Linked DNA regions of Drosophila melanogaster. The protein of the gene in region 1 interacts with the protein of each later gene in a pairwise test. Each region holds a gene or a part of one and is shown in the gene's direction. Other genes may lie near its edges.

Region 1 (6,458 bases):
CACACACCCCCGCTTCCGGTGGGTGTTTTTTTTACGCTGGAGGGGGGAGGGTGGTTTACTCACCTATGCGCTGGCCAACTGGAGTGGAGAAAACATTTCCCAAGGCGCCAACGTTGAAAAATGAAGCCATCGTGGAGAAGTTTCTTATTAATGCTCGCCGTTGGGTTGCAGTGCGGTTAAAATTGTTCTTTATTTACTTTTTGTTCACCTGGATGAAATGTTTATGCACTTGTCTACAGCAGAGTGACCATGGCTGGCCTCAGCGAAAAATACCCACAAAGAAATGCATTACAATAAGTGGGTAAATAGGAATAGGTTTTTTTCCAGGGCTGCAGCATTTTATTTCATTTTATTTAAAAGAATTATCCACAGTTTTTGAGATAATGACATAGTTATACCCGTTACTCGTAGAGTAAAAGGGTTTATTAGATTCGTTGAAAAGTATGTAACAGGCAGACCATATAAAGTATATATATTCTTGATCAGGATCAGTAGCCGAGTCGATCTGGCGATGTCCGCCTGTCTGTACGTTTGAACGTCGAGATCTCAGGAACTATTTAAGCTAGAATGTTTAGATTAAGCGTGCAGATTCCAGAGACATAGACGCAGCCCAAGATTGTTGACCCATGTTTCCATGACCACTCCAACGCCCACATTAGATTGTTCTTAGTTTTATTGTTCACCTTGCACCTTGCACCTTTTGGATTGTAATCACACCCACATCTTTAAACAATTTTAATTTTTTCTCATTTTATTCGCAATCCGACTAGCTGAGTAACGGGTACCTCATAGTCATGGTTGTTCACAGAGCGTGTTATGTATCTCAAAAACTTTGTAATTTCAAAGAGTTATTTCACAATTCATTCCACAGATTTCGTGGATAATGAATTTTCGATTGTTCAACCTTGCACCTGTCTCAAAAATGAGCTTTCCGTCAGCGGTCCTTCTGACGGTACCGCTGGCGGTCCCACTGATGGTTCCGCTGATGGTCCCGTTGATAGCCCCACGGACGGTCCCCTTGACGGTTCCGCTGACGGTCCCTTCGATGGTTCCGCTGCCGGTCGTGCTGACGGCCCCGTCGACGGTCCGGCTGATGGTCCCTTCGACGGTCCCGCTGAGGGTTCCGCTGAGGATCCCGCTGAGAGTCCCACTGAATGGCATTGGAACGAACTCGTTGATGACCAATCCAATGACGGTCGCGCTGACGGTCCCGCTGACGGTAGCGCTGACGGTCTGGCTGAGGGTCCCGCTGAAGGCTCCTCTAGCGTTCCCGCTGACTTTCCCGCTGACGTTCCCGCTGACGTTCCCGCTGACGTTCGCGCTGACGCTAACGCTCCTGCTGACGGGCACGTCGTCGGTCTCGCTGTCAGTGATCTCCATGTCGACGGCCCAGATTTCCGAGGACAGTTCATAGGATTCGTCCTCTGAAAGAAGAGAACGTAGGGTATATTAGTGAGTGAGGCTTTGAGACTTATATTTTGATAGTCCCGACTTGGTTAGTCGGCTAAACTTCTCTGTTCCAAGACCCATAATCTTAAGCCCATTTAGATCTAACTATAAGTTGCATGATTCTTACAGAATATTGTGTTCTGACTATAATAGTCATTATCCTATTATCTGTAATCTTTGCTCTCTGCCGCTCTTAAAGCAATCAATCAAATCAATCGGTGCATTATTCACAAATACGACGCAAAATTTGTTTTTGGTTAGATTAAGGAATATATGAGTTAGCGGTTCCAACAGGCTGATAGGACAAATCATATGCCTCGCACGTAGGGTATAAACTGAGAAGAAACGTGTTTTTCCCCGGAATTCTTTGCGACACATACAGTTTGTCAAGAAACTGTTTACACACTGTGAAATAAGTTGAATTTTTGACTTTAAAGCTAAAAATAAAGGGTTTTTTGCTTAATTAAACGCAATTTTTTTATAAAATATAATTAAACAATATTTATTTTACTTATAAATCAAAAAACAAATTAAAAATATTAAATATACAAGAAAATAAACAACAAATTCCAAGTTTACACACTTTTGAGACTGTCAAGAAACTCTTTACACATTTTGTTTTCCTACTTTGTTTTGTTCTTTTTCTTAGAACGAACTCGATTTTTCCGTTATTTTTGGCTTTACATTGCTTTTTACAACGCTTCTATTGAAATTTGTTGACTTTGCTTGTGAAATTTTGCTGATCAAACGTGCTTAAAGCGAATTATTAAATTTAATAAAATGCCTGGAAAGAGATTAACTTTTGAAGTTACCCAATTAATAAACTATAACCACCAGTTGGGAAAATCTTTTCCAGAATTAGTATAAATGTTTCCTGTATCCCGTAAGACCGTCTACAATGTTTTAAAAGGCTCGGAAAAAGAGGGCAGGCTTGAACCTAAGAGTGGTGGTGGGCGGAAAATTAAAATTAAAAAGCGTGTAGACCGCTTTATTATGCGAATAGTGATTGCGAACCCCCGAATCTCGGTCAGATCACTTGCTCTGGATATCAGGCAAGAATGTCACCTAACTGTGTCACACGAAACTGTGCGCCAAGTCATCCTACGCCATAGGTACTCTTCAAGAGTTGCAAGGAAAAACCCTTTGCTATCAGATGCCAATATTGAAAAGCGTCATTTATTCGCTATGAGCATGATGGATCATGCGGAAGAGTACTGGGATGACGTCATATTTTGTGACAAAACAAATATGATGCTCTTTTATAACGACGGGCCAAGCAGAGTATGGCGCAAACCGTTGAGTGCGCTAGAAAAACAAAATATCATTCCAACAATAAAATTTGGAAAAATGTCACTGATGGTTTGGGGCTGTATCACCAGCCGTGGAGTGGGAAAACTAGCCTTAATTGAGAGCACAATAAATGCCGTGCAATATCTAGGAATTAAAAAAAAAAATTTGAAGGCCAGTGCAGAAAAATTTGGTCTAGTTAGCAACAACAAGCCAAATTTTATGTTTTACCAGGACATGATAAGAAACATAAAGAGTGCAATGTACGCACCTGGCGCCCTTATAACTGTGGTAAAGTGATCGATACGCCCCCTCAGAGTCCTGATCTGAACCCCATTGAAAATTTGTGGACCTACTTAAAGAAGAAGGTGGCAAAAAGGGACCTAAAACACAACAACAGCTTATGACTGTAATAGTCGAAGAGTGTGAAAAGATCCCGTTTGAATATGACCTGCAAAAACTTGTCCAATCCATGAAAAAAAGGCTTCAACTTGTAGCTAAAGCCAATGGGGAACATACTACATACCAAAACTTTTAAAATTTTAATAAAATAATTAAAAAATTTAGGTTTAAACTTCGATTTAGTGTTTTGTGTAAAGAGTTTCTTGACAGTCTCAAAAGTGTGTACACTTGGAATTTGTTGTTTATTTTCTTGTATATTTAATATTTTTAATTTGTTTTTTGATTTATAAGTAAAATAAATATTGTTTAATTATATTTTATAAAAAAATTGCGTTTAATTAAGCAAAAAACCCTTTATTTTTAGCTTTAAAGTCAAAAATTCAACTTATTTTACAGTGTGTAAACAGTTTCTTGACAAACTGTATGTATGTACACTTGCCACACTTTTTGGTGTTGTAATTATATCTTTCGGATCAGAAACCTCGCAATTTACGTGGCATTATAATTAAATATATTATTATTATTAAAATGTAACGAACATTATCCAAAATAAGATACAAATTGAAAAAAATACGGAGAACTAGAGTTCACTAAAATTATTAAAGGTTCCATAGGTTTCATACCTATGGCCCTAATATTGGAGGAAATATTTCCCATTGCGGTGGAGTTATTTATTATAGTTATTTTCACTGGTTATTTTATGTTATGGTATTTTCACTGGTGGAAGTACGGAGACTGAATGATATATGTTCTGCAGCCATGCAATATATATAAGTACAATTTATTAAATTTTTTAATCTAACATTGCTGTGGTGAGTATGGGGGTTGGGTCATAGCGTTTAGTATAAGTATTTTAAGTTAAGTACTTTTCTTGAGTGACATGGACTGGTAACATTAACATATGGCACAATATTTTAATTATTTTTACAAATAGCATTTAATTTTAAACTAGCATTAATTTCTTTTTATATTTTTGGATACCCCGTCAGAAGGACGAAAGCACCGGAAGGACAGAAGGACAGGAGTCATCGCCGGGGATAAATTGGAGTTTTGCAGCATTTAAATATAGCCGACTGTCCCACCCACTGTCCCTCCCACTGAAATCTTAATGTTGCAGATCTATTGCAGAAATCTTATTGTTAATAAAGCGGTTCATGACATGGATTGGTTGTGGTATTGGTACTAAAGAGGGCGGATCTTAAACTCCTCCCACTGTTATGTTATTATCTCAAAAACAGTGGAAAATTTTTAATGATTTTTTAATTTAATGAAATATTCCTGAAATGTCCTTAAGGTCTGAGGAGTTAAGGTTTGAGGAGGTCTAGCGTGCAAAATGTTGGGGAGCCGATTATTCTATCGCATTATTTTTTTACTTTCTTGAGCCCTATAAGTAGTACATAGATAGTTAGATCTGCCATTTTGAAACATTTTTGCATTTTTATTCTTGGGAATTTACTCCCAAATAACGTTAGCGCAAATTTATTAATTAATGTATTTATTAAATAAATTTATTATACTGATAACATATTAATATAGCAAAAAAAAATACGTTTTTGAATATATGTGCATTCTTTTTAAACTGCTGCACACATTTATTATTTTTTTGGACTCTTACAATACTTTTTCAAAAATTTTAAATATAACTGCGACTTTGAGCGATACTTTCACTTTTCCCGTGACGCCAACCGATATGCACAGCGCTTGCAGCCCTGGCCAATTTTGATGTGTTTCAGCATTGTACCCTGACAACCCTGCTCTGTAAAACTAGGAAAAACAGAAAATTTTATTTTCAATTGTTAAATATCCAAACGTAAACAGCCGGAAAATGTCACGACAAGCCTCTCGTTTGGACGCCAAGAAAGTGGTAAGTTGGCCAAAGAAGAGAGAACAGCGCAAGATCGGTATCGTTAGTCATTTGGAGGCATAGATCTAGTTGTAAGGTTAGATTTGTGCCATAGTGCCTAAGAACGAATCTTTGACGTGCCATCCACCCTCAAAATCGGCTTCATTCACTTTTCCAGTAAGTGTGTGTGTTGGGGGCTTGAGGTTGAGACACGGACACACAGACAGGCACAAGCCGACGTGCAATCAGGCAATGGAAAACCATTTCAGCGCCACCAGTCGCCCCTCAGCCACGCCCAGAATGTGCACCACCGCCTCTGCCGTCGGTGCTGCCGCCAGCGCCGCCGCCGCCGCCGGCAACAACAATAACAACAGCAATAGCAGCAGCAACAACAACGCAACAACCGGCAACAATTTAAGTGTTAGCACTGCAGCCGGAGGAGCCACAAATGCCGCAGCAACGGCACAACCCATCCAAGTGATACCAATGCCCATGCTGCCCACCGGAGCGGCGCAAATCATAATTGGCCAGCAGCCACAGGGTCAGGCGACGGCGACGGGTCTGCAGCCACAATTGATACCGCTGCAGGCCAACCAGATTATGCTGCAGGCTGCGCAGCAGCAGCCACAGATGCAGGTGATGCAGCTGCCCGATGGCCAGACTATATTCTATCAGACGCCCACCATTGCCGCCTTGGATCCGAATGCAGCGGCCAACGCCGCAGCTGCCATGGCAGCCCAGCCGACGCCGCACTACCTCAATATCAATGGGCAGCTGGTGCAGATCAATCCAGCACCGAGCGCTAATCAGGCGGCACCCACAGCTGGGCAACAGATTATAATGGTGCCGCAGACAGCGATGGCAGCGGTGAATGCAGCGGCCGCCAATGCCGGAGTAGGCGCCGGAGTGGGCACAGTGGTTACCCAACAACAACAGCAGCAGCATCAACAAGTACAATCCCAGACCCAAAACCAGCAGCAGCAGCAACAGCAGCAGACGGTGGCGGCGGTGGCTGCCAGTGCTGCAGTCAATAATATAAGCGCCGATGTCAGCACAAGTACAACTGGAACGAATACGAACAGCGAGGACGAGAGCTCCAAGGGCGAGGCGGACGAGGAGCCGCTCTATGTGAATGCCAAGCAGTACAAACGTATTCTCATTCGGCGGCAGGCCAGGGCCAAGCTAGAGTCGCGCATACCCAAGGAACGGTGCAAGTATCTGCACGAATCTCGTCATCGCCACGCCATGAATCGGGCTCGTGGCGAGGGTGGTCGCTTCCATTCGGCACAGGAGAAGGGCGACCAAGATTCGTCCGGCCCGGAAGGCGGCAGCATGCCAATGGCGTCCAGTGGCGGCGTCACCCTCAGCCGTGGCACGGCACGTGCTCCGCCCAAACTGATCGCGCCACATCAAACGCCCAGCATTACCATAACGGCGATCAAATCGGAATAGTCGCCTCCTAGCTGTAGGATACAAA
Region 2 (6,458 bases), on another chromosome or scaffold:
TTACATATATATATATATATATATATATATATATATATATATATATCCATATACAATATAAACCGATCTAATGTTAAGCGTTTCACACACAGACACAACAATTTACAAGACGTTTATGCATTTCGATTCAATGAAAAATCAAGAATACGAATAATACAAATATTATAAACAATAATTACAATAATGGATTACAGCAAGCAAGCTCTTACTATTATTTTTAAAGTAAATGAGAACTTTTTAACAAATTACCGCAACCCGTATACATATGTATAGCATATAACTGAATACTTTTCTCTCCTCCAACGTTCCCACAATAAAAAAAAAAGGAAAAAAGCAAAATTACAAATTAGCGCGCTCTTCTAACATAAAAAAAGCAAATGCAAAAACCAAAGTAAATTTAATTAATATACACATATATGAGAAGAAACCAAAAACCAAAATATATAACATATTACGAGTAAGCAAATAATATATAAAAATACTTTTATACTATATACACGAAGCCTAAGAACTAAACAAAAGCGAAACAAAATTATATTAACGACTACCCCTCTCGCTCTAACCTCTCCATTCTCCTGTTGTCCTGCTCTTCTTTTCTCTCTCTCTCTCTCTCTCTCTCTCTCTATCTCTCTCCGTCTCTCTCGCACTGTGAAACTCCCGACTCGACTTCGACCTTGACCCTTTATCTTTTCTCTCTCTCTATCTCTATGTCTTTCTCTCTGTCGTTTCGGTGACCTCAGAAGAGGACCCAGCAAAAATGCGAAAACCATACCAAAAGCAAAGGAAAATAACACTTTTTATCGGTACATTTTCTACTACACCATATATGAATAGGAAATACAAGAGAAGAAGAGGAAGCGAATATAAAGTTAAAACCAAATTACCAACTACAGCAAACCACAATTTCAATATAAAAACGAATGGGTCCTATTTCGAACTTGACTTTCGGCACCGTTTTTGTAAAATCCCTTGAGTTTTGAAACCATTTCGAAAGCTGCCTCTTAGTATGATATGAAAAACAAAACAATTTTGATTTGAAAAGTCTTTCATAGCACGCGTCTAGGCAGTTTTTTAAGTGGTTTCAAAACCCAGAGAATGATATTTAAAGATAGCCAAGACGTGATAAAAAAATACCCATAAAAACTATACTCAAATTTCAGCCGAAAGTTAAAATTAGAATGGCCGATTACAATCAATTCCACACTCAGTTCGATATCGAATAAATCGCATATTGAACATAAATGTTTTTAGAGTTTTTTTTTTTAAATTTCCGTTAGACTGTTAGTTTATCGATTAGCTTGAACTACTATGTACAATCAAATATTTAAGTCGCTTTAAGTAAGCCATTTTGTTAACCAATTGTTTTTTTTTTTTATAATCGTATATACACTTATTAAATTTAACGAGAATAAAGAGAAAATGGGAAGATTTCTTGTTTTTCGTTTCCACTCATCTCATCCATTGCAATGCGAATGAAAACCTTTTCATCATATGTATGTATGTATGTAATTATATACGTTACCTTAATTTTTTTGATACATGTATTTTTCAACATCTACTTCCTGCCCTCGAATGCTTTAAAAACTTTACACGAAAAAGAAAACAATTTAATATATATTATAAACAAAAAAGAAATGGACAAAGAAAAGCAAAAACAAAAAAAAAACAAGAAAAACCAAGTGAAGAAAAAACCAAAAAACAATTAAAACTTTACCTTTTGGATAAATCAATTTAAATGCATATTTTATATATATTTAAACATTTATTTATATATAACATGTATGATAAATATAAGTTGGAAAAACTTTGTCAAAGCAAAAAGTTTATATACTTATATTAAAGAAAAACAAAAAACAAATGGATGGAAGATGGGAAAGGAAAACCAAAAACCAAATAAATAATATTAAAAATGCAACATAACAAATTAACAAACAAGAAAACATCACATCTAGATAAATCTCTTAAAAATTTTCAATTTTATTATTAAACCGAAACCAAAGTTAATGGATAAACAAATTTATAAACTGTATTGCAAGGGGCAGCTGGCTGGCAAAAATTACATAAAATTTGCGCCGTTGTGACAAAAATTGTACGCAATCCAAGGAAGATAACAAATTAATTTACAAGATAAAGATGATGATAATGGAGATGTAGACGATGGAGAATAAATGAAGGCAACAACAAAATGCAGACAACAAGTTTTAACCTTAAGTGAATGCAAAACAAAATGAAGAAACCCAATGAAAACAAAATGATTATCAATGTTATTAACATAATTAATATTAACAAAAACGAAAAAAAAAGAACAAGCAAAAAAAAAAAACAAAAACAACCAAAAAAGAAATACAAAAACATTAAAAAAAATATACAAGTACCTATCCTGAGAATAAAATGCGCGCACATTTATTATTTCCTCTAAAAGTTCGTTTGAGTCGATTTCGCCACCGGGGAATTTCAGAATAAGCATATACATATTTAATCCCGGGAAGCATATCCACCAGTAGAAGGCTGGAGAAGTGGTGGACTGAGTGAGTAATGTCCAGAATTTGCTCGAAAATTAAGGAAGAGGTAAGTGTAAGTGGGGCGAAACCGACAGGTGGCCAAGAATTTCAATAATGAGGTTTTTACCTATATTGATAAATTCAGCATCTGGGCTCTCATATTCTCTAATTTTAATTCATTTTATAATGTTTAGTTAACTACGTTTAAAGAATAATTAAGATGAACGGCTTAATTGATAGCTTAAGCTTTTTTAAAATAAAATGTTTTCCAGTTGACATTTTGAATATGTACCAAGTCCAATTGGATATAATTATCAAAGTTTAGCACCTTGTGGTACATTGCTGTGCGGAATTTGTTCAGATTTTAATTTTGCGCCACCATCTACATCTTTAAAGTGAATATATTGTTAGAAAGGAGATAAAAGTAAGCGTATTCATTTAGAATATTAAATATACAGAGAAAGATATAATTTTGCACGTACCTTACTCGACTACTTCCATGACTTCCATTCCAGGTGCGAGTCTCGACTAGAGTACACATTCCAGCGGCCGTGTAGTAAGTTTGAGCTTTTGAGCCACGGCCACACTGCAGAAAATTCCATTAAAAAAAGCGAGAAAAAAAACGTAGCGAAAGAGAGAAATTACGACGTCTGCAGGGCCGAAGCGAAAAAAGTAGCAAATACTGAAACAGAGTGACTATGATTGTTGTTAAGTGAAAGCAGCACTTTTGGAAAACGGCTAGGCCAGCGGCGCAGGCCACGGAAGAAAGCAGCGGAGTCAGCGTTCCAAAATCAAAGCAAAGCCAGCGGAAAGTAAAGGAAAGCGAATCAAAGCTGGAAGGCGATAAAGCGGCTCACCAGGCACTCCAACAACAACAGCAACAATAGCAACAACAGTAGGAGCAGCAGCAACAACCACACAGCAGCAGCAGCAGCAGCCAGGGAAAGTACCAGAGTGTGAGTGAGTGAGTGAGCGAGTGTGCGTGTGCGTGTGTGTGGGTAGTGGAAACAGAACTGAGCCGTGAGAGAGCGAGAGCGGGAGAGCGAGAGCGGGAGAGCGAGCTAGTGGAAGTGGGAGCGGGAGAGGAGCAGTCCGATTCCGAATCCCGGAATAGAAACCAGGAAAAAGGAAACGGGAAGCAGTAGCCGTAGAAGCAGAGCCAAAAACCGAAACAGAAACAGAAGTCTCAACCATGTCTTCGAATAACCAGAGCAGCAGCGTTGCCCAGGCGGCAACAAGTGCCCGCACCGTCAGTGCCGGATCGGCGGAAGCCACAGATGCCAATAGTACCGCCTCGAACAACAACAATAATAGCAGCAGTACCGCTGCAGCGGGCAACAACAGCGACAACAGCAGTCCCACCACTGGAACGGGCACAGGAGCGAGCACTGGAAAGCTGCACGGCGGCCACACGGCAGTAAACACCAAGGAACGGGTGGTGGACAGCGTTCCCTTCCCGCCCAGCCACAAGCTGACCTTGGCGGAGGTGTTCGACCAACGCACCGGCAAGCCCAACCATGAGCTGCTCAAGCAGCACTTCATTCTTGAGGGCAGAATCGAGGAGGCGCCCGCCCTGAAAATCATCCAGGACGGAGCCGCCCTGCTGCGTCAGGAGAAGACGATGATCGATATTGAGGCGCCGGTGACGGTGTGCGGTGATATCCACGGCCAGTTCTACGACCTGATGAAGCTGTTCGAAGTGGGCGGCTCGCCCGCGAGCACCAAGTATCTGTTCCTGGGCGACTACGTCGATCGGGGCTACTTCAGCATCGAGTGCGTCCTGTATTTGTGGTCGCTAAAGATCACCTATCCGCAGACGCTGTTCCTGCTGCGCGGCAACCACGAGTGCCGGCACTTAACCGAGTACTTCACCTTCAAGCAGGAGTGCAAGATCAAGTACTCGGAGCGCGTGTACGACGCCTGCATGGACGCATTCGACTGCCTGCCGCTGGCGGCGCTAATGAACCAGCAGTTCCTCTGCGTGCACGGCGGTCTGTCGCCGGAGATACACGAGCTGGAGGACATCCGGCGGCTCGACCGCTTCAAGGAGCCGCCCGCCTTTGGCCCCATGTGCGACCTGCTGTGGTCCGATCCCCTGGAGGACTTTGGCAACGAGAAGAACTCGGACTTCTACACGCACAACTCCGTGCGCGGATGCTCGTACTTCTACAGCTACGCCGCCTGCTGCGACTTCCTGCAGAACAACAACCTGCTGTCGATCATCCGGGCGCACGAGGCGCAGGACGCCGGCTACCGCATGTACCGCAAAAGCCAGACCACCGGCTTCCCCTCGCTGATCACCATCTTCTCGGCGCCCAACTATCTCGACGTGTACAACAACAAGGCGGCGGTGCTGAAGTACGAGAACAACGTGATGAACATCCGGCAATTCAACTGCTCGCCGCACCCGTACTGGCTGCCCAACTTCATGGACGTGTTCACCTGGTCGCTACCCTTCGTGGGCGAGAAGGTCACCGAGATGTTGGTGAACGTGCTGAACATCTGCTCCGACGACGAGCTCATGACCGAGGAGAGCGAGGAGCCGCTCTCCGACGACGAGGCGGCGCTGCGCAAGGAGGTGATACGCAACAAGATCCGTGCCATTGGCAAGATGGCGCGCGTCTTCTCCGTGCTGCGCGAGGAGTCCGAGTCGGTGCTGCAGCTGAAGGGCCTGACGCCCACGGGCGCCCTGCCCCTCGGCGCCCTCTCCGGCGGCAAGCAGTCGCTCAAGAACGCCATGCAGGGCTTCTCGCCCAACCACAAGATTACCTCGTTCGCGGAGGCCAAGGGCCTGGATGCCGTCAACGAACGGATGCCGCCGCGGCGGGATCAGCCGCCCACGCCCAGCGAGGATCCGAATCAGCACAGTCAGCAGGGCGGCAAAAATGGGGCTGGACATGGGTAAGCTGTGCCATCTAGTGCGGCTGCAGGACGAGGATGCAGATGCAGATGCGGCACGGTGGAGTCTGGCGAGGTCTGAATTGGTCTGAAGGAGGGGCTGAGTGGAGCGGAGCGGAGGCAACACAAAGAACACCAACCGAACGGAACCTTAATTAAACTTAATGTGGCAGAGCAACAACTTAAATACTAAAACCAATTCTAATTCTAAGTAATTGTCATAACCCCCTGCATTTCGTATGTGATCCCGCACCAGCTCCATGCCCATGTCTATGTCCATGGCCCAGAGCCTCCAAACCGACGGCACGGAGCAGAGATTTGTTTTTACGCAGGCGCGCGCACATTGGATATTAAAATTATGTGTGGCATACTTTGGCGCGCCGGCCCCCAAAACGGAAAATTCCCTTTCGCGATAGAAGAAAACCAACCCATAACGTAACCCATAACCTAGCTTAAGTTGTAATGTATAAACTATAAACTGAAATGGGCAAATTTTAAAATGGAAAATGAACAAAACGGAAAGAGCTAATTGAAATCCCTCCCCCTGCGATAATGCGATAATTTAAGATGAAAAACCCCAGCAGAATCCCCATAATCCCCAGAGGCAAGAAACACTAATCCAATTGAAGAGATATGGGAAACAAAATCCAGCGCTAATCTGTTCCAAACATTTAGCAGCGGCAAAAAAGAAGCGTACATATATGTATACATATGATTATTTAGAAATATCGAGGCGCAGTGCCGAGATGCAACCGAAAGTGTAATGAAATTTGAAATGAGCAAAGGTCATTTTTTGTAATAATCGTAATCCTTGAACTCTAGAAATGTAATCTTGCATAGAAGAAACGAATGAAACAAGCAAACAAATTCGAAACCATTTGCAATATGTGCCGCAATAGTCCATAAATGTTCCTTATACGAATTAAACATTGAAAGTGAAATCAGAGTTTATTTTTTTTTTTTTAAATATATACTTAAATATATGTATATGTATTATTGTTGCATAATCTAACTTTTGACTTAATATGTTACATTTTACGTGTACGACTGTGTGTGTAT

What was found. Proteins that work in one complex are often made in the same cells at the same time.
Region 2: the proteins of Nf-YA (region 1) and Pp2B-14D interact in a two-hybrid assay, tested with the Drosophila melanogaster proteins (2 studies listed by BioGRID).

What each region holds. Positions count from the first base shown.
Region 1 is NT_037436.4:9,440,668-9,447,125, reverse strand, and holds the start of Nf-YA (nuclear factor Y-box A), read left to right. Parts: upstream 1-4,858; 5' UTR 4,859-4,963; coding exon of another isoform or gene 4,964-5,002; intron 5,003-5,159; 5' UTR 5,160-5,233; coding exon 5,234-6,433; 3' UTR 6,434-6,458. Other genes in the region: CG3529 (uncharacterized protein), read right to left, coding at 64-130; Srg3 (Sting-regulated gene 3), read right to left, coding at 841-1,424, 3,762-3,795; Bet3 (blocked early in transport 3), read left to right, coding at 4,964-5,002.
Region 2 is NC_004354.4:16,556,643-16,563,100, reverse strand, and holds the start of Pp2B-14D (protein phosphatase 2B at 14D), read left to right. Parts: upstream 1-3,084; 5' UTR 3,085-3,693; coding exon 3,694-5,406; 3' UTR 5,407-6,458. UniProt on the Drosophila melanogaster protein: Calcium-dependent, calmodulin-stimulated protein phosphatase. This subunit may have a role in the calmodulin activation of calcineurin.